5 linked regions of the Nothobranchius furzeri genome follow. The protein of the gene in region 4 binds, or shares a complex with, the protein of the main gene of each other region. Links are inferred from orthologs where the notes say so. Each region holds a gene or a part of one and is shown on either strand. Other genes may lie near its edges. The genes, in order: kl, plcg2, fibroblast growth factor receptor substrate 2, fgfr1a and fgf23.

The links.
Region 1: the proteins of fgfr1a (region 4) and kl are in contact, whole or in part, in a cryo-EM structure (PDB 7YSH), measured with the Homo sapiens proteins. The link is inferred for Nothobranchius furzeri from reciprocal best matches to the Homo sapiens genes FGFR1 and KL. Residues at the interface, in NP_075598.2 of Homo sapiens: Asn272, Gln288, Leu290, His292, Ile293, Asn296, Gly301, Pro302, Leu305, Pro306, Tyr307, Val308, Gln309, Ile310, Leu311, Lys312, Glu322, Leu326, His327, Leu328, Arg329, Asn330, Glu334, Asp335, Thr340, Leu342, Leu349, His351; in NP_004786.2 of Homo sapiens: Ser539, Gln540, Phe541, Asp543, Leu544, Asn545, Val546, Tyr547, Leu548, Trp549, Asp550, Val551, Lys555, Arg556, Leu557, Val560, Val563, Thr565, Lys566, Arg568, Tyr571, Val573, Ala576, Glu625, Arg628.
Region 2: the proteins of fgfr1a (region 4) and plcg2 are in contact, whole or in part, in a cryo-EM structure (PDB 8JQI), measured with the Homo sapiens proteins. The link is inferred for Nothobranchius furzeri from reciprocal best matches to the Homo sapiens genes FGFR1 and PLCG2. Residues at the interface, in NP_075598.2 of Homo sapiens: Lys504, Asn506, His541, Lys542, Lys598, Ser602, Tyr605, Gln606, Arg609, Glu612, Tyr613, Ser616, Lys617, Lys748, Asp755, Arg756, Val758, Ser762, Gln764, Glu765, Tyr766, Leu767, Asp768, Leu769; in NP_001412678.1 of Homo sapiens: Phe528, Arg540, Thr568, Phe569, Pro570, Asn571, Phe577, His585, Cys586, Arg587, Arg589, Ser590, Thr591, Met592, Gly595, Leu601, Thr602, Asn604, Leu622, Arg623, Cys624, Ala625, Glu626, Phe627, Glu738.
Region 3: the proteins of fgfr1a (region 4) and fibroblast growth factor receptor substrate 2 are in contact, whole or in part, in an NMR structure (PDB 1XR0), measured with the Homo sapiens proteins. The link is inferred for Nothobranchius furzeri from reciprocal best matches to the Homo sapiens genes FGFR1 and FRS2. Residues at the interface, in NP_075598.2 of Homo sapiens: His409, Ser410, Gln411, Met412, Ala413, Val414, His415, Lys416, Leu417, Ala418, Lys419, Ser420, Ile421, Pro422, Leu423, Arg424, Arg425, Gln426, Val427, Thr428, Val429, Ser430; in NP_001036020.1 of Homo sapiens: Asn25, Val26, Asp27, Asp28, Leu33, Leu47, Thr49, Arg50, Asp53, Ser54, Val55, Trp57, Leu60, Cys61, Leu62, Arg63, Arg64, Tyr65, Gly66, Tyr67, Asp68, Ser69, Leu71, Ser73, Phe74, Gln81, Thr82, Ile86, Phe87, Ala88.
Region 5: the proteins of fgfr1a (region 4) and fgf23 are in contact, whole or in part, in a cryo-EM structure (PDB 7YSH), measured with the Homo sapiens proteins. The link is inferred for Nothobranchius furzeri from reciprocal best matches to the Homo sapiens genes FGFR1 and FGF23. Residues at the interface, in NP_075598.2 of Homo sapiens: Glu159, Lys160, Glu162, Lys163, Lys164, Leu165, His166, Ala167, Val168, Pro169, Lys172, Gln244, Asp246, Val248, Glu249, Arg250, Ser251, Pro252, Val279, Tyr280, Ser281, Asp282, Pro283, Gln284, Pro285, His286, Ile287, Ala314, Gly315, Val316; in NP_065689.1 of Homo sapiens: Leu31, Leu32, Gly33, Ser34, Trp36, Gly37, Tyr43, Ala45, Thr46, Ala47, Arg48, Asn49, Ser50, His52, His66, Ile75, Arg76, Ser77, Glu78, Asp79, Ala80, Gly81, Val83, Val84, Tyr93, Phe108, His117, Gln118, Thr119, Asn122.

Annotation. Positions count from the first base shown.
Region 1 is NC_091750.1:61,952,461-61,958,518, forward strand, and holds the start of kl (klotho), read right to left. Parts: upstream 3,379-6,058; 5' UTR 2,638-3,378; coding exon 1,921-2,637; intron 1,198-1,920; coding exon 767-1,197; intron 701-766; coding exon 621-700; intron 527-620; coding exon 364-526; intron 1-363. Other genes in the region: pds5b (sister chromatid cohesion protein PDS5 homolog B), read right to left, coding at 4,237-4,269, 5,932-6,028. UniProt on the Homo sapiens protein: May have weak glycosidase activity towards glucuronylated steroids. However, it lacks essential active site Glu residues at positions 239 and 872, suggesting it may be inactive as a glycosidase in vivo.
Region 2 is NC_091744.1:86,606,065-86,611,523, reverse strand, and holds part of plcg2 (1-phosphatidylinositol 4,5-bisphosphate phosphodiesterase gamma-2), read right to left. Parts: intron 5,414-5,459; coding exon 5,312-5,413; intron 5,001-5,311; coding exon 4,882-5,000; intron 4,578-4,881; coding exon 4,492-4,577; intron 4,415-4,491; coding exon 4,297-4,414; intron 2,778-4,296; coding exon 2,609-2,777; intron 2,530-2,608; coding exon 2,431-2,529; intron 2,119-2,430; coding exon 2,032-2,118; intron 1,960-2,031; coding exon 1,790-1,959; intron 1,717-1,789; coding exon 1,516-1,716; intron 256-1,515; coding exon 133-255; intron 1-132. UniProt on the Homo sapiens protein: The production of the second messenger molecules diacylglycerol (DAG) and inositol 1,4,5-trisphosphate (IP3) is mediated by activated phosphatidylinositol-specific phospholipase C enzymes. It is a crucial enzyme in transmembrane signaling.
Region 3 is NC_091744.1:79,890,633-79,896,810, forward strand, and holds the start of fibroblast growth factor receptor substrate 2, read right to left. Parts: upstream 4,151-6,178; 5' UTR 3,948-4,150; intron 1-3,947. UniProt on the Homo sapiens protein: Adapter protein that links activated FGR and NGF receptors to downstream signaling pathways.
Region 4 is NC_091757.1:34,245,076-34,249,805, reverse strand, and holds part of fgfr1a (fibroblast growth factor receptor 1-A), read right to left. Parts: intron 2,860-4,730; coding exon 2,738-2,859; intron 2,290-2,737; coding exon 2,179-2,289; intron 171-2,178; coding exon 1-170. UniProt on the Homo sapiens protein: Tyrosine-protein kinase that acts as a cell-surface receptor for fibroblast growth factors and plays an essential role in the regulation of embryonic development, cell proliferation, differentiation and migration.
Region 5 is NC_091741.1:43,104,740-43,110,091, forward strand, and holds fgf23 (fibroblast growth factor 23), read right to left. Parts: upstream 3,410-5,352; 5' UTR 3,246-3,409; coding exon 3,011-3,245; intron 2,931-3,010; coding exon 2,827-2,930; intron 2,410-2,826; coding exon 1,951-2,409; 3' UTR 1,831-1,950; downstream 1-1,830. UniProt on the Homo sapiens protein: Regulator of phosphate homeostasis. Inhibits renal tubular phosphate transport by reducing SLC34A1 levels. Up-regulates EGR1 expression in the presence of KL. Acts directly on the parathyroid to decrease PTH secretion. Regulator of vitamin-D metabolism.

The sequences.
Region 1 (6,058 bases), on a different chromosome or scaffold from region 4:
CAGCTCCATGCAGTTTCACTTCACCGCTGCTTAGCATTAGCCAGTAGAATTAGACATCGGCTTACGTACAGATGCAGTGAAGCATTTACCTTGGACCTGCTTTTCAACAACAGAAGGGTCTCTGCGTTCAACTCGGATGTTGAATAGATGCAGAGTTGGTGAACTTCTTTATAGACAAGTAAGTCTTTAAATTATGAAGTAATAAACAGCATAACATGAGAACAGTAACTATGTGTGTTCACGAATGAGAGGCATCGTTTCCAGCAGTATTACAGAAACAGGGAGATGCTCTGGGTGGTGCCATCTGAGAGAAACCTCAGGATTTCTGCTTGGACACCAAAACGTGTTGGCCCTCACATGTACCTGTAAAAGGTGGCGGACGTTTTTGGCTCCCTCTTCATGTCAGGAGTGTTGAAGTCGACGTAGTAAAGTCCACGTCGGATGCCGTACTCTCTGTGCCACTCAAAGCCGTCCATCAGGGACCAGGCTGTGTATCCAATCACATTCACTCCATCAACGACGATCGCTGGACGACAAACACATTCACACAGGCTTTAGTTTGACCTCAGAGACGTCTGACGAGACAGTTCGATGAGTTTGGTGGAATCCGATGGACCCACATTTAAGTGTCTCTGCAATGAACCTCTTGAGGTAGTACATTTGTTTCGGATCTTCCGTTTTGGTGTTACCGAGGACATACCTGGAAAACAAACGCAAGTTCAACACAAACCCAAACTAAAACGGATATGTCCGTGTGCTAACCTACCAACCGCTTTGCATCACAAAGATGGGTGGCTTGTCATACTCTTCGTTGACCCAGTAGAGCAGCATCCTCAGGTCCAGATCTTCCAGCTGCCCAAACTTCAGGCTGTCGTTGATGAGTTGGAAGCTCAGGGTAGCTCCATGGGAGAGGGCGAAGAAATCAGCTGTTCCTCTGACCTGCTCCCTCTCCTCCTGGGTAAAGGAGGGGAGCCGTGAACCCAGCCTCTCCTTCATGCAGGCTGGATAGTCTCCATCTACAAACAGCGGCTGTGCAAACCAGCCCAGGACATGGTCCAGGGAACACTGGCACTCCCGCAGGCTTTCCAGGCGAGTACGGCTGGGCTTGATCCAGTGGGAGGCCAGAGCCATGGAGACCTTCCCGTGCTGCCGAGGCCGATAGCGGCGGTTGTAGAGGTGCCATGCAGCTGCATGGGCCTGCAGCAGAGACAAGAGAGATACATAAAGAATAAACTTTTACATGCAGGTCAAAAAGTTAAAAAAAAAGTTCTGTGTGCATAATAAATTACACTGTAAAATCTGAATGGTTATTTTTACTTGGAAAAAAAAGCATGAAAATGACAGAAAAGATTGGAGCCCCAGTGGCCTCCCTGCTGAATAAGTGCAGATTTTTTTGTGTTAATGTAGCCTAATATGAGATGTGGGGAGAAAAAGCATGTGAATGCAATTATATGGGGGTTGGGGTTAGTTGAAAAGAGATGTTAAGATAAACACTTTGATGTTTTTTCTGATGCAGATTACCAAGACGTTAATGTAGTTTTGCAAAATAGTTAAATTTGGAAAGGTATTGAAAAGCTGTTGTATCTAAAGCAACCATGAATTATTATGTTGTTGGAATTACACACACATTTTTGAAATACTTAAAGGCACATTTTTTTATTATTATTTTTTTTCATACAGATGTACCTCTCCAACAAAGCAGTCGGGCCCCCCTGTAATGTAAATGTAGAACCGCCCCTGGCCATATTTTAGTGCTTTTTACTATTTTAATGGGAAAAAAATCATAGTAATAAACATTTTTTTTTGTAATTTATTTTCAAGATACTAAATGGAAGGAAAATTGAATAAAAAATTAGATTTTTGAACAGATACTTTTTGTGACTAATAAAAAAACAGCACATTTTTTAAATCAATACCCACCTTAAGTAAGTTATGTCCCACTCGGAGAGGGAGATCAGGGTCGTTCTTGATCCCAGGAGCGACCACCCCGGTTCCGTAGCCATACTGCGCCACCACAAACGGGTTATCTATGGTGATCCAGAACTTCACATCATTCCCAAACGCATGGAAGCAAAAATCTGCGTAATCCTCAAATATCCCCACGATCTCTGGGTTGCTCCAGCCGCCCAGGGTCTGCTGCAGCTGCTCGGGCAGGTCCCAGTGATGAAGCGTGACCACCGGCTGGACTCGGACCTCCTTCAGCCTCCTGATGAGCGTCCGGTAGTAGCTGGTGCCGATGTCGTTATAACTCCCGCGCGTCCCGTTCGGAAATATCCTGGACCAGGACAAGGAGAACCTGTAGTGGGTCACCCCGAGCTGGCGGATGGCCCGGATGTCCGCGTGGATGTTGTGGTAGCTGTCGCTGCCCACGTCCCCGGTGGCCATGCGGTTCCCTCCGCGCGTAAAAGTGTCCCAGATGGAGAGCCCTTTGCCGTCCTTCTCAAACGCGCCCTCCACCTGGTACGCCGCTGTGCCCACGGCCCATATGAAGTCCCCGGGGAACGTGTCGTAGAGAAAAGCCTTGTCTCCCGGATAGGGAAGTTTACTGAAGCGGCTCCACGTCTTCAGACCCGCATTGGGCTTTGCGCCAACAGCAGCGAAGGCCACAAATGTGAGAACAGCGACAAACCCCTTCATGGTTGGTTTTCTTACTGGCCGTGGAAGTCCGGGTCCTCAGCTGGCTCACACTCCACCATGCTTGGTGGCTTTTTGGTGACTAACCAGACCTCTGCGACGCGCGAGCAGCCAGCTGTGAACCTGTCAATCATTAACCAAAGCACCTGACGCAGGAAGGGCTCAGGGCACAAGACGTTAAGGCTCCCACAAAGACAAAATAAGGCACGATCACTTTATTTTATTCTATTCTGCTCATATTGAGCCTTTAATCTCAGTCTAATCTCCTGGAGAGCAGGTGCCAAAGCCTCTAATGTGAACCCATCAACAGATCATAGCTTTAATCCATCTGCAAAACATGTATAACTAAATCTACATTCCTAATCTCATCAGAGACAATGTGATGAGTCAGATGGTTGCTAGGGAACACAAACCCATCCCAGGTTATCACAGCATCAGTATAAATACCTGAGGTGGTGGGTATGTCTTAGAATAAAAAAGTGGTTCTTTCTCTGAGAGGCCATAGTCATTTACATCTAATTAGACTTTTTGAATATTTGGAGCCAACTGTGTTCAAATATGTTGTTTATGCTATTAAAGTGTATAATCAAACCACTCCTCAGACGTCCAGCTCTGCTCATCGTTTAGCGAATTTGCCCTGCAGGCTCTGTCACGGATCACAAACGGGAAGAACACGGGAGTGTTTTTCCATCGGACGCACTGGAGCGTTTGTGCATAAGCGACGTGGAGCAGGAGCAGCCCCATTTACAGCACGGGAAGAGGATTATTAAGGGATGCTGGGCAGCCCGAGGACAGCGCGTGACTCCGACAGATGCCGCAGTTGGATCTGAAGAACTAGAACGTCTGTTTTCAGTCTGAAAAACTAAACGTTTCAAACCAAATAAAGAGGAAGCGAGCAGGTCTGGTTTTATAGAGAATTATATTGTTACAACAGAGGGTCTGACTGGGTGGATGTGAAGCCAAATTAACCAGCAGTGACACAAACGACGTTCCTCTAGCAGTGAGTACAAATCTAACCAAATAAATCAGATGCACACTACAGTCATAACCAGAAGCAACTCTACAATTGCTTTTTTTTTGTTTGTTTTTAAAGTTTTCAATAATGGTAAAAAAGAAGAAGAAATGTTTTAATATACAGAGGTGTAAACAAAATCATTCCAATAAAAGGTAAAATGACACAATTAACACAGAAAAAGTTGATGGTGATCGGTCTTTTTTTTTTTTTAGCTTTTAATAATAACGGCAGAACCCAAAAGGCTTTACAGCACCTCCCCAGTCAGCATCAAACACAACAACAGAACAACAAACAGACAGAGGAGACTATTTACAAACCATATTGTTTTTGTTTTTCATGTTAAGATGAGTTCTACCTAACGTGGCGAACATGATCACAATGCAACACGAAGCGACGAGCCACAGCTGACCATGCGGACGCTCTGATGTGGTGTGCATGTGGTAAATGCAAGTGTGTAACAGCGGGAACATCGGCATATGAAAAGTTTAAAAAGTTCAAAGTTCATGGGTTTTTTTTCCTTTCCTGAAACGGTTTCCTTGACGACAGAAGAATCGTTGTGTTTTGTTTTTTAAATTTTACTCCAAAGCTCATCTTCTGCGTCCTGCTGTCTTCTTACGACCCTGAAAGACAATAAAAAAAAAAAAAGACATTTTACTTGCGATTAATCGCAAATTAATTACAGATTATAAAAGTACGGTAACGTGATCTTTTTCATGTATGAGCAGACAAATACACCGATTCTATAAGAAAACATATTTGTTATTGCAACAATCCAGTAAAATGACAAATATTGTCCAGAATGTTCTTTTTCGATGAACACAAATCTAACTAGCGCGTCGTCTTTTATTGAGAAAGTACCGGATGTTCTCCTCCACCCCGGTGTCTACCTTCCTGTTCCCTTCGTGTCCGCCTGACACCATTTCCTTGTTTGTCCTCCGGGTTCTACCTGAGTTTTTATTACACCGACTAGGCAGTAGCGAATAGAAAAATAAAAAAGTTAAGTTAAGGATAGATCTTACAAATTGTTTTAATCATAAACGACACAAAAAAATCTGTTTTACAGCAGCAACCCTTACTTCTATAAATGTTTCCTGCTCTGATGAGTGAGAATATGAAGCCGAGTGCAGCCATTCAGGGCATTCAGACGGAAATAATGGAACACACTAGGGCTGCAACTAACGACTATTTTAATAGTTTACTAGTCACCGACTACTGAAACGATTAGTCGACTAATCGGATAATTATGAAAATTTTTTCAAATTTAGTATGAGATTGCTTTAATTGTGTGAAAAATGATAATAAACACAAGAAAGATGGGTACTTCAATGGAAAATGTATATTTTATTGAACGTTGCTGCTGATAGATAGGCCAATTCATACTAACAGTAGATAAAATGCCCTGTCTAACACCAATTAGGCACAGTGTCCAGTCAGTACAGACATAAATGCATAAATAAAATTAAAATACTTTTGTCAGGCACAGTCGGGCATAACATTAAATCTCTCTTTTTTAAAAGCGAAAGTACGTTTAAAAAAAATTTACAGTGTACATCCAAAACAAAAGGTATTGGCTTTCGTGTTATTTAAATCTTACCTCGGTGAGTCAGACTCGGTTTCATTCAACTGTCTGACGTGCTTTCTCTTTAAGTGTTCAAGCGTCAGCGAGGTGCTGCCGTGATACGCAAATAATGCAGGTCATCTTTTTATTTGCCAAATCCAGAATAGAATGCTCCCCAGATGTTTTGGTACGCGTAGCTGCTGTGTTGGATGCCACACTTTCTGTTAGTTGGCGCTCAGCAGAGAAACTATTGCGCATGTGCGACTCTCGGCAGAGATTGTAATGAAGTGAGATGCCTCACTCGGTCGGAAAAAACACGTCTGGCGACAACGTCGACAATGAAATTCCCATTTCTATTGTCGATATTTGTCGACAACGTCGACGAATGGTTGCAGCCCTAGAACACACCGAACGATCGGAGATGCCTGAAGCTTCGTGCACGGTTCGGTCGCCAAACAGGCAGTTCTACAAATAGTTTATCGCAAACTCACATTACAAAAAAAGTCTTCTTCCAATGTAATTTTTCACCCCCGGGTTTAAAACGTCCTTTCTCGTATCGCGTTGATTCGCTCGTGTTTAACAAATGCGTTAATGCATGATATAAAGATCGTCTGCAATAATGGACGAGTTAACGCGATTAAGCTAACGCTAACTACGATAGCTCTAAAAATGCAACCAGAGCTAATAGATTTATTTTTAACACTAAAATATAACTAAAAAATACCCTTGGTGTTGGCTCTTCTTCCTGCTCCTCTTCCTCCTCTTCCTCCTCCTCATCAGAGTCATCTTTAACAGCGGCTGCTTTCGATCGTCCACCGCGCCTGAAAACCAGTGAGTGGACACCCTGAATC
Region 2 (5,459 bases), on a different chromosome or scaffold from region 4:
AGGATGGAGGTGACCAGACAGAGGATCAAGCATCAAGCATCTCAATAACCGAGGAGATCTATTAACATTTTAAAGGTGAAGATACACCAGAAGAACATGGTGGACTTCTTTACATTTCCTGTCTGGTTTTACCTGAACGTGATGGCGAAGGAGTCCACTTCTCCCTCTCTCTGTCGGATGAGGAAAGCTCCATCTCTGGGAATCCTGAGCAGGTAATCCTCAGCTTGACCTCTGCTCAGATTACTGTAAAACCATCTTCAGAGCACAAACACAAAAACAAGGATGTTACCTTCCTGCTGTGACTGTGGGATTAACTGACTTAAAGGGACTTTTCGGACTTTTGAATTTTTATGCTCGCGATTGCCCCCACAGGCCAAAAGCGTAACGGCAGCTTCAATAGTAGGCTCGTGCACGAGGCGCGCATGCTGTACGTGCACACTCCTTAACGAAAATAACAGCTGAGACAGTTCCTTGTGTGTGTGTGTGTCTGTGTGTGTGTGTGTGTGTGTATGTGTGTGTGTGTGTGTGTGTGTGTGTGTGTGTGTGTGTGTGTGTGTGTGTGTGTGTGTGTGTGTGTGTGTGTGTGTGTGTGTGTGTGTGTCCCGGAGGACAGAGGACAGGAGAACGTGCAGCTAATTAATTAAATAATGTGGTTCTGTAGCTTTCTCTTCAGCACAGCCGACAAAGGTTTATGATGGGTCAGTCCTCCTGCATGCTCAGATCATTCCCTTCCCTTGCTTGAAAAATTGTTCCAAAATGAAAGTTGAACCCACATCTTTTTTATCTGTGAATTCAATGCCGTTCGGCGAGTCTCAAATAAAAATTTGGGCATCTTACTGTAAAAAATTACCATTAATGTAAAAAAGAAACTCTAAATAAACTATGTTCACATCCAGAATCAAACCCAGGTCTTCTGCACAAGAGTCAGACATCTTACTAGGTGAGGCACCAGTAACGTCATTCGTATCTGTAACATTTATGTCCTTGATGACAGCTGAAACAACGTCCAAAGAACGGTTCGGAGTGAAAATGGCTATTTTGTTGCTAATTAGCAGGAAATATCTAGAAGAAAGTTCTACAGAAAGTAGCTAAGGGTCCTCAGAAATGTAGCTAGCTTTGTCACTAGGCGTTAGGAACAGCGACAAAGTGGCACTGCCTCTCTCTCTGCTGCTAAAGCTACGGATAGCAAATGCTACGGGCGATGCCTGAGCGTGAACGCGCATGAAGCAGCCTGCTCGACCCGAGCATCTCTCTTTTTCTGTCATTTTACAGAAAAACAGGCAATCACAGTAAAAATGCCAGGGCTCATTCTACAGGACCAGGGCATTGCAGGAGAATGTATGAAGAAGACATTTATTATTTCTATACATGTTTTGGCTGTCACACTTCCATAATGCCCCTTTAAGCATCAGTAAAATTAGCCTTTTCTCGTGTGCTGCAGGCACAAGCTGACACTTTGGGAAGAGTTTCTTTTTGCGTTGCATTTTTAAGGGTTAGATGTGTTGCAGGACAAACCCTTCTTGGAGGTGAGGGTTCGGTTTGGGTACAGCCTCAGTGAGACGCAGGTCGAAGTCCTGGCAGCGCAGCGGCGTTTCTCTGTAGTGTTGGATCAGAGAGTACACGCTGGGAAAGGGCAGGTTTGGAGTCAGGTAGAAGAAGTTTTGGCCTTCCTCTGTGCCGGAGCGAATGCGGCAGTGCTGGACTCTCCCACCACGCCTGCACAGACGTTCAGGGAATTAAGAAAACAAACAAAAAGCACCATCGTACCACAACCTGACCAAGAAATTACCAAAACGACAGAGTGAAATCAGTGACAAACGTGTCACTTTGTCGAACCATGAAGGTGCCATCTTGTCCGCCGGTTTCTGCGCAGTAATCCTGGATCAGACGCTCGGCCATAATTCGACCCTCGTGCATTTGACCGTGAAACCACGGCTCCGAGCAGTGCAGGTCCTGGTACTGAATAAAACAACAAAATGCACATTTCAACCCTCTATTCATTGGTATTCCCTCCCTAACTGGACACTTTACCTTCCTGATATCTTCATCTTCCTCTTCGTACTCCTCTGCGTAGTACAGCTTGTTATCAGAGATCACACAGTAGTGTTTGTTCCACCGCTGGTAAAGAGAAAGCAGGTTTTTACATCTTTAGTTACACATGCAAAACAACACGTTGGAACAGCCAACTCTCCTGGGACGTCTGAGCTTTGGGAACGTTTTTGGCCTCTGAAGAAACGTGGATGTCTGACGTCCCGTAAAAAAATAAGCAGCAATCAAAGGAATGATTTGTGAATTGGCTGAATTAAATTTGGAATCAAGCTGGAGCTTTGTTTCTGTCCAATCAACAGAATCCAAGCAAAAACATAACATCTGCAAAAACTCGGACATACCATTAGCTGATTGTTTGATGCAGTGTTTAGATGACGGTACCTGGTCGACAGGGTCCCAGATCTCCAGGTCTCCCTGCTTCTCGCCCCTCCTGAAGTCTTTAACCGTTCCCGGTCCTCCCTCCACGTTAAGCTTCTTGTGCTGCTCGTAAACAAAAACCAAACTCAGCGGTGGTCTCAGATCAAGCCGCCTCCGCCATCGCCTCCCTGTGCTTCAGTACCTTGAGTATGATTTTGCCCTTCAGCTGAGTGGGTGACGGCAGCAGCTCGGCCATGTGCTCCACCGGTTCGGTCAGAAGTTTGTCCCCAAACACGTCTTTGAAGATCCGCGCCATCTGACGCTGCTGCTCTACCGGACAGTGTTCCTCTATGGACAGGATCACTGGGAAGCTAAAAGCATTTGAAGTAAAGTCTTGTTAACTAAGGTCATTGTGTCTAAGCTGATAAAACAAAACAAAAATAAATAAATATGTATGTATATATGGTGCATGAAGTCTAGTTTTCCACATGAAAATACAGGAACTTGTGTTTTTTTACAGACACTAAAGAAAAATTTCCCTTCCATTTGTGAAAAGAACACAATGTATGATGATGTGAAAAAACTTTTGCAATAACAGGAAGCAAAATAAACAAATTCAAGATGACGCAAAACTGAATTAAGATGTAAAACCGGAACAAACAACATATCCATCCGTCCATTTTCTGAACCCGCTTTGTCCACGCGGGGTCGTGGGGGGGCTGGTGCCTATCTCCAGCGGTCAACGGGCAATCAGGCGGGGTACACCCAGGACAGAGAGCCAGTCCATCGCAGGGCAACACAGACACACACACACACACACACACACACACACACACACACACACACACACACACACACACACACACACACAAGGACAATTTAGACAGACCAATCAACCTAACAGTCATGTTTTTGGACTGTGGGAGGAAGCCGGAGAACCCGGAGAGAACCCACGCATGCACAGGGAGAACATGCTAACTCCATGCAGAAAGATCCCAGGCCGGGAAGCGAACCCAGGACCTTCTCGCTGCAAGGCAACAGCTCTAACCACTGCACCACTGCACAGCCCCAAACAACATATTTACATCAAATAAAAAAAATAAAACAAAAGGCATTGACCACAACGAGTCACGTGATGATGACCATTAAAAGCTATGAAATAAATTAAAGAAAGAAATAATACAATAAACATGTATTAAAATAAAATTAAAAATAACTTTCAAAGAGGGCTGCAGGGCTAGGGTTAGCACTGGTTAGCGCTGTCGCCTTGAGGTCTTTCTGCAAGGAGTTTGCATGTTCTCCCTGTGCATGCGTGGGTTCACTACGTTGGCCCTAGGTATGTGTGTCCGTGCGTGTGTCCGTGCGTGTGTGTGTGTGCGTGTGCGTGCGTGTGTGCGTGAGATAGGCACTAGGCCCAACGCAACCCTGCGTGGATAAGCGGATGGATGGAACTATCAAAGAGATAAAAAAGTAAAATAAAACAGAAATAAATAACGACTAAATCAACCTTTTAAATTCCACACCAGTAAAAAAAAAGTTACATTGAAATACAATCCTTTTTATATTTTTTTGTTCTTTTGAAACAACAAAGGTAATTATAATATAATGTAATGTAATAATAAAGCAATGATTATAACAATAATAATAAAATGTAATAATATTTATTGCTAATGTTTAAGTTTATACTGAAACCTGGCCACAATTTTTTAAATATTTAATTTTAGTAGCATTTTTTTCAACAGGTTTTATTAAGCTAGAGGGACTAAAATGTGCTCCAGAAAGCATCTGACTGAACAGTTAAGGGTTCATGAAACTGTCTCAGTAAAAATTAAAATGAAGACAAAACCCCCAAACCTGTACAAGACCAGAAATAACCTCACAAGCTCTTACTCTGAGGTGACAAATGCATGTTCGTTTATGGCTTTGACCACATCCTCAAACTTGATCTTGGTGGTTCTGGACCAGCCGTGGTAGATGATCGGCTCCCCGGGGCCTTCCCAGCAGTCCACTGATAAATAACAAGTAAAAAATATTAAGTTAAACGAATCTAAACATTTTCGTTTACTTCACTAGCTTGATATTCACATTCAACGCAGCGACATCCCAGACGCAGACAGCGGGTGTAGGCCTCTGTTGACGACTCGCTGAGAATCTGATCACCTGTCAGGTAACTGATGGATACAAAACAAAATAAGAAAACAAATCAACTAGATTAGTTCATTTATAATAAATAATCTATTATGTCACTTTAAACACTATTCTAACATTTATATCCAAATTAAATGCAGTTGGCAATTTTTTGTGATTCATTTTCATTTTGGGAGATCCCGGACGAGCCCCCAGTTTAGGTCTCACAGCTCCCAGTGAAGACAGGTTTCAGTTTTAGTAAAATCTTTTTTGATGGTATTTTTGATCAGTTAACAGGAACATATTTAGGACAAAAACCAGCCACTTAGGTTTGTTAAACAAACTGACGTGTTATGCGAGGAGTTGATCCAGTAATGAGACAATGGGTTGTGTGTGTCCAGATTGATGATCTCTGAGAACTTCTCGTCCCAAACAGAATTCTCCTTGGAAAACAGGAAGCTGAGGAACTGGAAGAAGAGAAAGAGTTAATACACAAGGTCAAGGTAACTTTACTAATACCCACAGGTAAATTTGATTTGCCATGTGACACGAGAATTAGCGCCCAGGTTACACACAGATACACACAGCCACAAAGCACACACATCAATGAAAAATAAACAATAAGTAAATAAAAATAAAAATACTCCTTCAAACGCCTGGGAGGTGTGGCCATTTTGAGCTTCAAAACTTTCTGCTAGCCTAAACTAAGTTTGAATATTAAAAAAATAAAAAGGCAAATTTGGAAATAATTTGAAGAAATACAAGTTTTCTTTGTTACCTCGCTGACTGTGAACTCAGGGTCATTGGTCTTCCTCATGGTGTCGTCAATAAAAATGGTCATCAGCTCCCTGACCTGATTCAGATCGTTGGCCCAAGTTTCCTAAACCATGAAATTAAATAGTTAACAATCGGTACTTTTTATTTTT
Region 3 (6,178 bases), on a different chromosome or scaffold from region 4:
TTCTTGTTTTGTTATTTCATCTGTTTAGGTTTATTCCATCAGAAAATATAGTCATATTGGTTCAAAGCCAATCAAATGCATAGGTTGATAAAAAGTATTGCAATAAAGAGGTCAACATAAGACCAAACGATAGATGACAAGATTAAAATGTGCACTATTTGTTTAGAACTACTATTTTGAATAGTATCATTTTGAATTTTATTTTATTGTTTTTATTTGTGCAAGGTTTTGTCAGATGCTTTAAAAGTTTATGCACTTGAGTTAATGTGCAATGACTTGTCTCATTTAAGACACTAAATATGTTCTAACTATAAGACCTTGATAAGCTGCTGTGTTTATTAATGTCCTTTTTGAGTGCAGACTGTTCTAAAAAGTTTTCACTATTCATTACAAAACAAAACAGCTTCAGTAAATGTTGCAGAGCTGTAACTTCATTACTGCTAAATAAATAAAAAAACTAGCTGAGTTGATGAACATGTTTGTATTGTTTCTGTTTTTGGAGGTGAAATTTATCACTAAATGGATCATTTTGTGTGAAATGTACATAAATTAATCATATGAATGTTTTAAATTTCCAATATACAGTGCCCCCATCTTTTTTCGATATGGCAAATGTTTTAAATTATTTAGTTAAGTTGACTTAAACATTTCTTCCAAATGAATTGATACTTTAAAATTGAGTCAACATACATTTATGGATTACACGGACTGTACCAGTCAGTTCTCTCAATACCCAAACTAGTTTTGACAACGTAAAATTATTAATTGTGGTTAAAGTTAAAAAAACTAAAAGAAGTTGAATCAACTCTTGATTATAAATTAAACTAACTTAAAAACATGTTGGTATAACAAGAGAGTTTAATTTGGGATAAAATATGGTAATGTTAAGACAACAAATTTTGTTTTTTCATTTAACTCAAAATTTTAATGCAGCCCTTTCACTCGTATTTTTAAGTTGAAACAATATGTTTTATTTTACAGTGTACCTATTCCACCTTCCTCAGGATCCACTGATTTCCCCCTTACCTTGTCACTCTCTCTTTACATTTTTAACCACAATTGTCTATTTTTTGCAGATTTTAAATATGTTTTTAATCATTTTCTAAATTCTTTTTTGTATTTTTTGTTTTTGTTAAGCGCCTCGTGATTTTACTCTTGAGAGCCGCTATAGAAAAGATCTTTTCTTCTTCTTCTTCTTAAATTCAGCTTTAATAATTTAATTCTATACAAAATCTGCTGATTTTAGAAGCATTTATGTCAGAATATCGGTATCGGTGAATATCGGTTATCAGCCATAACAGTAATCTTGATATCAGTATCGGCCCAAAAATTTCATATTGGTGCATCACTACATTTTTTTCATCTAACTACCTTGGTTTATCCTAAACAGAAAACAATGCAGTTTGATTTTCAAGCTTTTTCAGGGACAACACAGAAACCGAGCACTTTCCATACTTCCATGATTAACTCTTTAATTTTAATTCTATGTGTTTATTCTTAAATTTTCCATTTTCTCCCATTTTCATTTATCTCATTTATTTTTATTGTTCTTGCGAAATGCCTCAAGAGAGCTGATATATAAAAAAATCTGTTTCCTGTTTCTTCACCATCATTCTAGACATGCAGTCTAGGTGTTTAGTAGAGCTGAAACAACTAATCGATTTAATAGATTATAATCGATTATTGAAATAGTTAACAACTTTTTTAGTCATCGATTAGTTGTTTAATAATCACATTTTACCGCATAAAGTCTATTTTTACCACAATCTGACATCAGTTACAATCTGTTAAATTTGCCGCCAGTGTGTGGCAGTAATGAGCCACTGATCTACCAGTGGAGCCGTAGAAGAAGAAACGAGCCAATAAGTGCCCTCGGTTTTCATGACGTATCACGTTACTGACGCTCATCTTGCTGTGAGAGATGGCGGAACAAGAAGAAATACGGAAGAAAAATAGAAGCGACAAAACTGAAGAGAAACCCCGGACAAAAACCTCACGAGTATGGGAGCACTTCACTCTAGATGCCATGAAAAGACGGGTGACCTGCAAAATATGCAAAAACCATCTAGCATGGCACGGAAGCACGACGTCCCTAAGTGAACATTTGAGACGAAAACATGTGGGGGCTGATGCAGCAGAGGAAGAGCCAGCCCGGTAAATAACAGAAAATAAGCAAAATCTAGTGGTCCATCACTACACGCAGATCAAATATGGGACTTAGTGTTTTAGCTGAGTTCGTTATAGTGAATGTTAAACATGTTTTTTTTTTTTGCCGCGTCAGTCTACGGTGTTCTACTTCTGATTGACTAAATGCAATCGTGAATCTCCTCCGTGTTGTGTATCATGCGCTTGCCAAATTTAGCACGTCTGTTTATAAGAATGTTCTTGTTAAGAGAAAAACGGCACAAACCCATAACTATGTTCCTCATTCAAAAAAGGACAACTCTGCGGAGAAAAATATAAAGACAAGCTGTGTCCAGGTGAATATAACGCGGCATAATTGTACGCTTTCAATTTTTAAATACAGGAGAAATTCAGAAAAAGTCATTTTTTTACTATTAAAAGGCTGTTTTACTATCTAACGCTGTAAAACGCCTCACAACACATTTTTATCAAAATAAATGATCACTGTCTATTGTTAATTAATTCAAATAATATAATATTGATTTAGTGTTGTAGTGTGTGTGCTGCTTTATTTTATATGTGTACTTATGTCAGTCAATTTGTGTTTCTTATGCAGAAAAAAACAAGCAACGATGGACAACTACATGGGGAACAAGACACTCACCCCCCAGCAATGCATACCACTTACAAACTCTTTTCTAGATTCAACATTATTTTTTTATGGAATTTACCTCTTATATTTTGATGCCAAAAAATTATTCTGGACTGATTAGCTCATTTTACACCGCTGACTGTGTTCATGTGCAATAAAATGATTGCAGTCAATTGCACAATTCTCCTATGTTTTTCTTTTTCTTAACTGAAATGTATTCATCACTTGTATAGGTTAAATAGCTAAACAATAACAAACCGACTAATCAATTAATCGAAAAAAAAAATCGACAGATTAATCGATTATGAAAATAATCGTTAGTTGCAGCCCTAGTGTTTCGACCCTAAGCTGACCTGAAACCGGCCCCGACTACCATGACGATCCATCCTGAATCTGAGCAGTAACACACTTGTTTCTAATCACATTTTGATTCAAAGCAAATTTCTGTTGAAACTTGCTCCAAATGTTAAATAAATCAATTAATTCTGAAATACTTTCTCCTAGTGAAGCGATTACTAACCTTTATGTTTGACTTTGGGGCAATTGTGTCAGAGACATTAAGTACCCGTCCTGTGAGAACCCAAACCCTGTGACCAGAGGGTTGCAGGTTCAAGCCCAGGTTCTGTCTTGTGTACCTGGGCAGGACCAGAGGCGCATCTGAGTGAGCCCCAGGACAGCTGTGGCTATGATGTAGTGCATGTCTAAGCACTTTGGGGGGTTGCAGAACTGTAGAAGGTGTTGTATAGATAACGAGGCATTTACCATTTCATTTCCAAACCCTTAAAACACTTGATCAGATTTGTAATGTGCGAATCTGCTGATAGTTAATCTGTTAGCTCTGACGTCACTCCAGCACCGGGATGATCAATAACGAGATCTCAGGACCTCTCGGTGACACTTGAGTGTTTTCACTTTCCTCAGCGCGTGCGCATTCAGTTTATATCGCTGATAACTAACCAGATTAACTAACCTCACGGTTAAAACCGTGTGCGAGCCGCACATTTAGCGGTTCATTTGCGAAATGTGAATCACGCAGCCGCTGTAGTGTGAAACTTCTCGATGTGAAGTTGCTGTAATGGCAGCTAGCTAGCAGCAGCTAGTTAGCAGCAGCTAACGCCCGCTACCTTCTTCGCAGAAGCCCTAACCTGTCCGTACATCGGTCCATACTCACCAGGCTTGGTTAGAGGGGTGATTTCCAGCATCCAAACCTTTGGGGCATCCAGATGGAGGAGCACCTCAAGTCTGTCCGTAAATCCAGGCGTTCAGCTAAAGCTAGCGGCTGCTACAACAGGAGATCCTCCATGTTTCCTCTGCGCCGCTGGAGCGCCAAAAAAAAACAATCACAACTCGTTTAAAACGCACCTAAGGTTTCTCTTTACAAACAAGCATCAATCTAAACCAGTCAGAATCCATCTGCGGTCCTTAGTGGTTCACTGCGGGCTGAAAAGGTCCGTCCCAAAACTCTTTCTACGGCTAAAAACAAACTTTTCTTGCTCGTTTGCTCCCGAGCTAAAAATCACAGCGAGCTGCTGCCGCAACTTCCGACACCTTACGCACCGCACTGCGCATGCGCCGCGTACGTAGTCGGGGCAGGCCTCGAGTCAGGACCAGAGTGCCCTTACCTCACTGCTGACTCCGATCCTCTGCGAAGTGCACTTTGAGGAAGCGCACATGCTTCGAGCAAAGGGCTGATGCAGGAGCAGAGCCAAAGTTCACACTCCCTACAACCAGGTATTCAGTTCCAGGCCTCAGGGCAGGTTTGAGTTTGGACTCTTTCAACACACCTGATTTATTTTGCAGAGCCTTACGAGCTGCTGCTGCACAGGTGATTCAACCATAGAATCAAATGTGTTGGAGCAGAGAAACCACTAAAACAGGCTGGATACTGGTGATCTATCTGTGTGTCCTCATCGAATATTCTGTGACGTAGTAGTCGGTCATCAACGAGTAACACGGATAGTTGGATCACCGGCACTACACACTCACACCGTGGGATGGCAGCATGGAACTGGGGAACGAGAGTGTGGAAGAGACTACATAGACCATAGATTACCTCATTACGTGCTGCAGAGTGATCCAGTGTTACATCATATTGGGTGAGAGGAGCCTAGCCCCAGCTTTGGTGTGTGTGTGTGTGTGGGGGGGTGGGGGGGGGACAGAGGACATGAGAACATGCAGTTAATTAAATAAATAATTTGGTTCTGTACCTTTCTCTTCAGCACAGCCGACAAAGGTTTAAGATGGGTCAGTCCTCCTGCATGCTCAGATCATTCCCTTCCCTTGCTTGAAAAATTGTTCCAAAATGAAAGTTGAACCCACATCTTTTTTATCTGTGAATTCAATGCCGTTTGGCCAGTCTCAAATAAAAATTTGGACATCTTACTGTAAAAAAGAATATACCATTAATGTAAAAAAGAAACTCTAAATAAACTATGTTCACACCCAGAATCAAACCCAGGTTGTCTGCACGAAAGCCCGAAGTCTTACTAGGCGAGATAAACCACCAGTGACGTCTTCTGTATCTGTAACATTTATATTCTTAATGACAGCTGAAACAACGTTCAAAGAACGGTTTGGAGGGCTATGCCTGAGCGTGAATGCGCATGAAGCAGCCTGCTCGACCCGAGCAACTCTCTTTTTCTGTGATTTTACAGAAAAACAGGCAATCACAGTAAAAATGCCAGGGCTCATTCTACAGGACCAGGGCATTGCAGGAGAATGTATGAAGAAGAATTTTATTATTTCTATACATGTTTTGGCTGTCAAACTTCCATAATGCCCCTTTAAAATGAGCAAAAAGTAGACAATTGTGATTTTAAAAATTTAAAGAAAGAGAGAGTGAATAGGTAAGAGAGAAATCAGTGGATCCTGAGGAAGGTGGAATAGGTGGGGAGAGCAGAATAAAGAGAGTGGTGAAGAAGGTCATACAAAAGTCAGCTTGAACAAGTGAGTCTTCAGCTGCTTTTTAAAGGAGACCACTGAGTCCACTGATCTCAGGCTCAGGGGGAGAGAGTTCCAGAGTCTGGGGGCCACAGCAGCAAATGATCTGTCACATTTGACCTTTAGCCTGGTGCTGCACAACCAGTAGGCTTTGATCACTGGACCTCAGGGACCTGCTGGGGGTGAAGGGACTAAGAAGATCACCAATGTAAGATGGTGCTTGTCCATGTAAGGTCCTATAGACCAGAACCAGGATCTTGAAATGAATCCTGAAGTTGACTGGCAGCCAGTGAAGCTGGAGGAGAAGCGGGGTGATGTGGGTACTGTAGTTTAGACTGGTACTGTAGTTTATATTTATACTGTAGTTTGTATTTATACTTTAGACTGGTACTGTAGTTTAAATTTATTCTATACTTTAGACTGTTTATATTTATACTGTACTTTAGACTGGTACTGTAGTTT
Region 4 (4,730 bases):
CATGCCTCGAGCCACTTGGTAAGCACAGGACACCAGGTCTTTGATGGACATGTTCTCAACAGGAACCTGGTCTGGGTTGTAACAGTACTCCATGCCTGGAGGGCGTCGGGCTCGCAAGTACTCCCTGAGGTTGCCTTTGGATGCATATTCAACTATCACATACAGCGGACCTAAAATGATCGGAAAACATTCAGATGTGTTTTAATGCAGCCGTGTTCTGCTGAGCTAAAGCAGGGTACATGCAGGAATCTCAAAACTATATTTAAGACTTTTTCAAGACTTTTTAAGACCTTGTAAAAATAAAATTAAGTCTATCGCAAAGAACTAATCAACTGTTAAACACTTATATATTGTTTTTAAATAATGCATCACTTCGTTGTCCACTTCATGTTGGGTTACGTCACACCCGGGACAGCGAGGCTTTAGCAATAATACGTTAACCCACGTGGCACAAAAATGCAAACCGTGCGCATAGAAGAACAATATATATATATATATTTTTTTTAGTTTACATTTTTCATAGCCACGAACTCTGAGGCTGTGAAAAAAGTGACAACTAAAATAATTCCCCCCAAACAAGGTCCTCACATGCTGCAGATGTGCATCTATTCTACTGTGGGTTTTGTAGTGACCTCTGACATTTACATACTTTTATTTTATTGAGAATATTAAAAAAATAATAATTATGTGATGTTTTTGCAAAATGCAAGCAATTTTCTACCAATCATACTGTTCAAGAGAGCTAAATGTAATAAACTGAAATAACTAATCAGATCATGATTAGGGATCATCATATAATTATTAACTATTATTATGAAACTAATTCACAAAACACCAAACATAAAAACACCCAAAAATATTCCAAATTACTGTAATCATTCTTAAGTAGGATGACCAGATCCCAACTCACCACAAGTGGGACAGAGACTGGGACGTGAAGCTTCAATGTAACCAGATAAAATTAAAATGTTTTTTTAATACATGTATTTTTAATCTATTCTGCCTTTTATCTCTAACATGACTGTTAAAATAATAATAATAAAATTATTATATAATTGATGTCTTATATATTCTATTTCTATTAAACTTGAACAAGCAAACAGCAAAAGCTTTATTGCCGTTTCTCAGTTCCTCTCCAGTTGCCGCAGCTTAACTCAGACTGGACCTTCTACAGCGGCTCTGAGTAACTTTAGTTACAGTTACTTTAAACAATCAACTGATTTTATAAATATAGACGGGCCCACTAGAAAATAATGAAGGTTTAAGCAGCTTTTTAAAGTTTTCACTGAATATTTGTGCTGACTTTCCACAACAGAATGATAGTAAAAGTACCAGTAACATCTTTAGATCTATTTATGTTTATTTTCCACTAATAACATCTCGTTAACGGATCCAAACTGTTTTGCAAGTTTTTCTTCTTCTCGACTTCAAATCTCTTATATAACATGTAGGGAAGACGTACCTAAAGGGTTTAGCCTGTATGCACCTGAAACAACAACCGCAGCACCTCGTCTGTCAGAATCTTCTTTAGGTCAGGATGGACCTGTCTAATTACTGAGAAAGCTGTTTTTGACCAACACTTGAACTCTGGAGTGTGTTGGGAGGTTTGTAGAAAAGAACAGACCAAGAACAAGCCTGTTTGTGAAATGCTGACTGCATGTTAGACATAAATAAACGTCTCCAGGTGATATCGAAACACACAACAATGTTTATAAATGAGACGAACGCAGCTCTATTACGCAGGGTCTAAAATAGCATCAAATCAACAAGATATCAGAACTACAGCGTTGACACCTACTAGAAGATGCTTTACTCCAAAACAAATCCTGTAAGAGACAAATATCAAGAGAGTAGAATAATAAAAACCTCGTGTTGCCGTAATGTACAAGTCATTAGGTTTTCTCTGGGTTTTTTTAATCAGGATGTATGGGAAAAAACGGCCGCAGCTGTAGTTGATTCAAGCTGTGAGCTTGGAAACTGGTGTCAGAATCATTTATGCATGCTTTCCTACACATCCCCCAAAGTTAGGCTCACAGCAGCTTCCTTGTCTGAGGGACAAGTGTGTGTGTGTGTGTGCGTGTGTGTGTGTGTGTGTGCGTGCGTGCGTGCGTGCGTGCGTGTGTGTGTGTGTGTTGACTGGAGTGGGTCAGTATCAGGCTCCTGCCTGTCTTATCCTACCATCCTGTGTGCAGGCTCCCAGCAGATTAATGATGTTCTTGTGCTTCCCAATGATCTTCATCATCTCCATCTCTGAGATCAGGTCTGACAGGTCTTTCTCTGTGGCATCAGCTGGAAAAAGCAGAAAACACCCCCATATTAAAATGCCTTTTCTCTGCTCTGAAGGCAAGAAGACCAACACTGAAGCTGTTAAGGAACAGTGTGTGTGTGTGTGTGTGTTAGAATGCACCCCATGGAAAAATCACTAAGTACAAGACAGTAAATGCTACCTTCCCTCCATCTTTACTCCTCCATGCAGTTTAATGAACACAGTTTTATAAGGGATGTCAAGGGTTCTCATAAATTTTTACTCCACTCTCTCATTTGCACAATGGCAGGAACCCAACCGGGGAAACTGCTCATCCCAGTTCAAGCCGTTATTGTGACTAAACTCTTGACCCGATGCTTCCCTTAAGCCATTTTTACCCTGGAGAGTTTCATCCCTGTGAAAATCCATCTCAGCATCCACCACAGAAAGGTGTATTGAGCACCACCTTTTTAGAAAAATCTCTTTACTTACATTTCAACATTTTCACTGCAACCTTGGTCACACGGTTTGGCTTCTCCTTGTCCATGCCGAGCGCCTCCCCCATCACCACCTGACCGAAGCAGCCTTCACCCAGAGGTTTCCCCAGAACAAGTCTGTGAACACACCAGCAGTTCGGTAACTCAGCTACAGCCCTATACAACAGCTTCAATTTTAACTTTACAGGGTGTGAATTTAGCCATCTATGAGAAATGTAACAAATTAATTCATTGTTAAAAGGACTTTACGGAGATTTGAATTTTTATGCTCGCGATTGCCCCCTCAGGCCAAAAGTGTAACGGCAGCTTCAATAGTAGGCTCGTGCACGAGGCGCGCATGCTGTACGTGCACACTCCTTAATGAAAATAACAGCTGAGACAGTCCTGTGTGTGTGTGTGTGTGTGTGTGTGTGTGTGTGTGGCCCGGAGGACAGAGGACAGGAGAACGCACAGCTAATTAATTAAATAATTTGGTTCTGTACCTTTCTCTTCAGCACAGCCGACAAAGGTTTAAGATGGGTCAGTCCGTCAGCTTCACAGAGCTTCCCTTCCCTTGCTTGAAAAATTGTTCCAAAATGAAAGTTGAACCCACATCTTTTTTTATCTGTGAATTCAATGCCGTTCGGCGAGTCTCAAATAAAAATTAGGGCATCTTACTGTAAAAAAATATACCATTAATGTAGAAAATAAACTCTACATAAATTACGTTCACATCAAGAATCGAACCCAGATCTTCTGCACGAGAGTCCGACGTCTAACTAAGTGAGCTACAGCGCCAGTTATGTCTTTCGTATCTGTAGCTTTTATATCCTTGATAATAGCTGAAACAAAGTTCAAAGAACGGTTCGGAGCGAAAATGTCTATTTTGTTGCTAATTTGCAGGAAATATCTAGAAGAAAGTAGCTAAGAGTCCTCAGAAATGTAGCTAGGTTCATCACTAGGCGTTAGGAACAGCGACAAAGTCGCTGAGTTGGCACTACCTCACTCCCTGCTGCTAAAGCTACGGATAGCAAATGCTACAGGCTACGCCTGAGCGTGAACGCGCATGAAGCAGCCTGCTCGACCCGAGCAGCTCTCTTTTTCTGTGATTTTACAGAAAAACAGGCAATCACAGTAAAAATGCCAGGGCTCATTCTACAGGACCAGGGCATTGCAGGAGAATGTATGAAGAAGAAATTTATTATTTCTATACATGTTTTGGCTGTCAAACTTCCATAATGCCCCTTTAAAGCAACAGCTTTCAGAAGAGAGCTAAAGGATTTTGGTAAAAGATTAAATTGTGATTTTTCTGGCAGAAATCTTGATTTCAATTTAATTGATATTTATTTAAATCAAGCTTCAGCACAATATACACAATGTGCATTAATATTTACAAACATGACAGGAAATGCCATACCATCAAAACACTAAAACATTTCTCCAATAATGCAAAGATAAAAAAATTAATTGCTTTCGAATATATTTATTTAAAACAAAATGTATGCAGTGTTTTCCCTGCTCTGTTTTACTGAATGTGTATTTCTCACAAAAACACTGCTGTTAACACGAACATTCATTCATTATTGTAGCTCAGTATGCCCCATTAGAAAAACTCAAACTTTATTTTTAAGGAGAGTCCACTTAGTGGTATTACGGTAAAACCCTTTCTGCTGTTGCAGGAAGCGGGTGAATCAGCCTCTCCGCCCCATATTTACAAACGGTGCAGAGTGATGGACAGAAAATAAGAAACAAAGATATAAGATCGCAGCCATTAATAACTTTCCTTTAAAAATAACTAATAAACCTAAATAAAAGACCAAATGTAGAGCTCAGTTGGCTCAAGCATCAGGCTCGGCTTCTGCAAGTTGTAGCACACCAACTAACTATGTAAAAGAATTATCAAGTGCTGCTGATGGAAATATGTCAAATTCCCAAGAAGAGCTGCTTTGAAACCTAATCAACTCATTGCTGTTATCCTTTAGGACAGGCTTGCTTGTATTAATCATATG
Region 5 (5,352 bases), on a different chromosome or scaffold from region 4:
TTATCATTTTAGCATTTTTATTACGTTTTCTCACGTGTAGAACGTTGACATTTTCCATTCTGTTGAATGTGTTGAGCTGAAAGACAGTTGACAAAGACAAAAGACAAAATTGCCTTAAAGCACCTTAAAGAGCAAGTCACCCCCAAATCAACTTTTTTTCTGATAAACTATATAAATGCGAGTCTAATCGTGCTGCAGACACGTGTCGTCAATAGTTTAGCACTTAAGTGCATTTTAGTTCAAATTTTAATTTTCTGCCTAAAACTGTCGGTGTTGTGCCGTTGTCAGGTAAAACCTCTGCACTGCATTGGAATTTAAATCTGCCATCGCTATTAGCTAAGAGGAACCCTAGAACATTAGCTGGTACCATATGATGTCACAATGTCGTTGTGAGTCTGTGTGTGTATTTTAGTGGCTCCGCCCTCTCGGTCTGCAAGGCAACAATATTTGTTGCATTTTTCAAACGGGAAGTGGGAGTTGAGTAAGATCTGGTAGGGGGTGACTTGCTCTTTAAGGCAATTTAACTAATTTAGCATCAAACCATTTCTGGCTTTGGAGCACCGTGATGGTGTCTTAGGATTAGTAACTTTGTTAAAACAAGCCACATCCAGTCCTATACATGTAAACTTGCTAATTTTATTTCCTTTTTACTGTTATATAATTACATAATTAAACTAGTTCAGTTTAAAAAACCTGTTTGTATTTTTTCATATTTGAGGCATAAAATTATCTCGGATTTACCTTCTTTAATAAGGAACTTACTGACAATAACATCAAATGAATGACTTTCAAAAGAAAATCCTCAAAAGTCTAATTTATTATTTTATGAACCAGTGCAGTTTTAGTTCTACATTTACAAGAGTCCTTTCTCATTTCCTGGTAACTGATGCACTGCCTAGCCAAAAGAAAAGTCACCACCTAAAAAAGTCACGCTCATACTTTGTTGGACCACCGTTAGCGTTGATTACGCTATTAAGCAGATTAAGCTTCTGCAATGCCATAAGATTTATTTTCATCCATTAATCCATTCATCCATTGCATTAATTGTTAACCAAGATCTCACATTGATGAAGGAGCTTTTTTATTAACATACAACATCACACAGACTCCAAAAATGGCTCCTATGATAATCGGATTTCTTTATTTAAAGCACATTCAAGCAAAACTCGCTCCAGCTCATACATTCAAAGTAAACTCGTGTTTCTGTGTAACTGTAAGCATTATTATAAATACCATAAATAACAATAAAGGAATGTATTTAAATAAATAAATATTCTTTTAGACTGCTTTCTCTCTGTTTTCCGGTACCTGATCACACAACAAGAGTTTACATTTGATATTCTGTAGAATTTATTTACCCTGTAGTCATTTTCTTTCAAGTCATTTATCAGATCAAACTGCAAATAAGTCATAATGATGATTTGAGAGTATGTTCAACTCTTAAAATATACTTAAGATTGTATAACAAAGACATTTAAACTATAACTCTAGTCATTTCTACTCTACTTTAATTATATATTTATTTTTAGTGATGCCTGTCTGGTTTGACAGCAGGCCGCTCAGTTCTCCAGAGGTAGGAAAAATCAGGCTTCTGTCTTGGAAACATCATTGTGGGTTTGTCAGACCAACCGAGAAAGAGAGGAATAATTTCCATCCTGTTTGATATTCCAGCATTTTGGATGAATGCTCAGATGCCAAAGATGCAGAAGCTTTTCTAAAATTGATTACTCTCTTTAAGGTCTGATGATGGAAGAGAACGTATTTAGTTGCTTTTTAGATTTAAGACAGAAGAAAATGTGCAAAAAAGGTTACAAGTCAATACAAACCACCGATTTTACCCAAAAAAAAAAATATATATATATTCAGCTTTTCAGATGGATGTTTGGACTAAACTGTTAAATTGGACTCAGGCAGAGCACATTAACTCTAAAATCATCCATGGTGCCGAGATCAGACCGTGGTCCCGGTGCTCCGAGCGCCGCCTTGCCTGGATAAGTTCACGTTCCAGGGGTCGTGTGGAGCCAGCGGCGTCTCCCGGGAAACGTTTCTTCCATCATCCCCGACTTCTGTTTCCGTCTCCAACTCTACCTCCACATCCAGGTCGATGTCGTCCTCCTGTGCCGCCCTGGAGTCCAACTCGTCCTCAGGCTGCCAAATCAAGACGTTGTGTGGGTCTGTTGGGTCCGCAACCCGAGTCCTCTTGTCTCTGTGCAGCAAAAGGCGCTGCAGCGGCACCGTGTTCTTCTTGGGCAGAAAGAGGGAGGTCTGCGGCAGGTTCTGACCCGCAGAGTAAAGCTGCCGGGAGCCCTCCAGGTTTAACAGGATCCCGGTTAGAGTAGAATAGTAGACGTCCCGGTTGTTCTCCAGAAGCCTGTGGTAGAACAGACAGGAGTCCCTCTGGCAGATGGGCTAAAAGAGGAAAAGAAAGCCATCAAACCCCAGCTGATCGATGTTTGCTGACTTTTATTTAGGCGGAAAAAATGCCTTGAATTTATTTTTATTCAATTTTCAGATGCCAATAAATCCAACCGACGTTTTAAATAAAGGAATCCTGTGCGTAAAAGTTGTGCGTAAAACTCCACAATGACACCAGAAACAAACTCGTGGTTTGATAAATCGACTAAAATTACATGCGAGCTTTCAACTGAAGTATTTTAAAGATGAATAAGCAGCAAACTAAAGAAATTAAGTGTTATTTAGAAAATAAACTGCGGTGCGCATGCGTAAAAGTAGCACAGCCAGATGCGTAAAAGCACATAGGACCGATAAACAAACTCAGAATAAGGTTTTAGGCTGGAAATTTGAAAATAACTTTGAAACACCTACCGAGCTGAACAGAATCCCCTCCTGATCCATACACAGGTAACGGTTGCTTTTGACACCGAAGATGGCCACGTGCTCCCTTGTTTCAGCTTTCATTAGAATTACACCTGCGAGAGAAAAAAAACACTTTTAGCAGCCTGACCTTGGTCTATAAACCTACATTATTTTCATCCAAATATCAACTTACTGAATGCAGATCTGGCTGTAGTTTTGCCCACAGACCCGTCTAATCTGATCTCCAGGTAGAAGTTGTTGAGTTCTGTGGAGGTCTGCAGGTGAACGTATCTCCTCGGGTTCCCCCAGTTGGATCCAACTAACGGAGACGGATTCGGTGCCGCTTCCCCGACAGGAAGTCCCTGCAGGACAGCGAGTAAGAGCGTCAGCATCGTGTCTCTCATCCCCAGTCGCTTGTTGACGTCCATCCTGGATCAAACCGCTGGTTTGGACTGCTGGAAGCGCTCGGATGCTCTGTTGTGCCACAGTTTGGTGACAGTACCTATTTAAAGCCCATCTGAGCGCCACTCCTGCGCACATCCTTTGCGCGGAAAAAAAGAAAAGAAAAAGAAACTCGCCCCCAAAGCAGAGGTGCGGGTTTCAGCAGCGGAAGGACCACTTCCACCTCTCTGTTTATTTCATGATCTTGGTTAAAAATCAAGACTTTTATTTTTGGGTTCTCTTCTTGACTCATCCACCGTTTCTTATTAAACCACCGCTTCAGGTTTTAGTTCGGAGTGCAGGAAGCTGCATTGTGTAATATTTCAAAAGGAAAAAAAAAACCTCTAAAGGCTTTTCATCACATCGCGGATTATTTCCCCAACCAAGAGTGACAGCTCTATAATTAAAGAGTTAAAATAGTTGTTTATGCCAGCTCTGCTTTTTCTGCACACCTGCACTCATCCACGTTTCCACTTTTTACCCAGCAGATGGCGACACTTCCTTGTTGGGAGGAAAGCAAACAGACGCATCTTTTACAGAAAGCTGCCACACTGGAAACCTAACTGCGTTTAGTCTGTTCCCCTCTTATAAACGGTTCATTCATGCAGGAAATTATTATGGTGACAAGTTATAATTCATGGAATAAGTCAGAAAGATTTTTTAATCTGTTAATTAACCTTACATTTGTTTTGTAAATTAGGGACAGGACTTGATTTAAAAATTATTTTGTTGTAAATTTTATGTTTGGCATGTATTTTGGGGTCTTTGTTGTTTTAAAAATTTAAACTAATATTTTGTGTTTGAAATGTTTTAATTTTTCATGATTTAAAAATGTGGAACACTAAAAACCAATTTTTAATGATTATTTCTGATTATAATGGGTCACTCTGAGTTTTTCATGCAGGCTGAACATGAAAATAGTCTCCTACACCTATCTCCTGCATCAGTTTCTGATAGAAAAGAGATGTGAAACTGCCAGATCTGCATCACACTGTCACTCAACATTCATGGACTCACCCGTGGATCACTACCACCTCTCTACCTTTGACTCTGAACGAAGCAGTACAAGTGCAGGTCGTTATCGTTTACAAGTTCCTGGAAATGGTGCAACGGTCAGTTTTTCCTCCCCAGAGTACAACTTGGATTAATTCCTAGAGACCACTACAAATGTATTTATTAAATGAGTGACTCACATCTTTCAGTTCAAGGTCAGCAAATCCAGTTAAACCACAGAAACAACAAACTCCCAGCAGCCAGTTAAAAAAAGAAAAACAAACTTTTATTATTTGGTATTTCAGGAATATACAGTAGACTGCTGTGCACAGCACATACGTACAAAAATAAAAGGAACAAAACTTTACTTAGCATCGTCTGTTATCAGAAACATGTAACTAAAATTTGTTTCGTCTCATTTTACAGAGATTAGCAAACCAAAACTAAGGCAGAAGGTGAGGTATATGAGAACAGAGGAGAGGAATAGAGTGGAGGCTCAGTCCAAAAAGTAAAAATAACACATGAAGAACACACACCCTAGTCAAGCTCTGGACTCAGGCATGCTGATATACATTCAAACATCAAAGAAGTTATTCCTCACCTTGACTTATTGAAATCTGACCTAGGATAAGCTGTGGAAAGGAGAATCAAATATATAATCAAGACGTCCTAAATAAGGTGCAAAACCAGACATCTTGGAGAGGTGACATGAGCAGTGGCGTGTCCAGATCTTTTAAAATGGGGTGGCCCAGGTGAGGCACAACTTTGTGCATGGGTGGCACCAATGGTTATGCTTTTCTTGTTTTACCCCCAAGCCTTTTGTGGACAATGAAAAGCCTAACTAAAGGTAAATTAATGTGGTGGCACCTGGGGTGGCCAATCAGATTCCAAGGGTGGTATGTGCTACCCCAGGCCACTCCCTGGACACGCCTCTGGACATGAGCAAATGAAGTCCTCATTAGCGTGCATTCACGATGTTTACTTCCACACAGTATACAGCTTTCAAAATAAAGAGCATTTTCATGTAACTCATAGTTAAAAATGTACATTAGTGCTTTTACATGCAGCCTCAACAGCAGCTTTTGTTTGCTTTTAAGATTT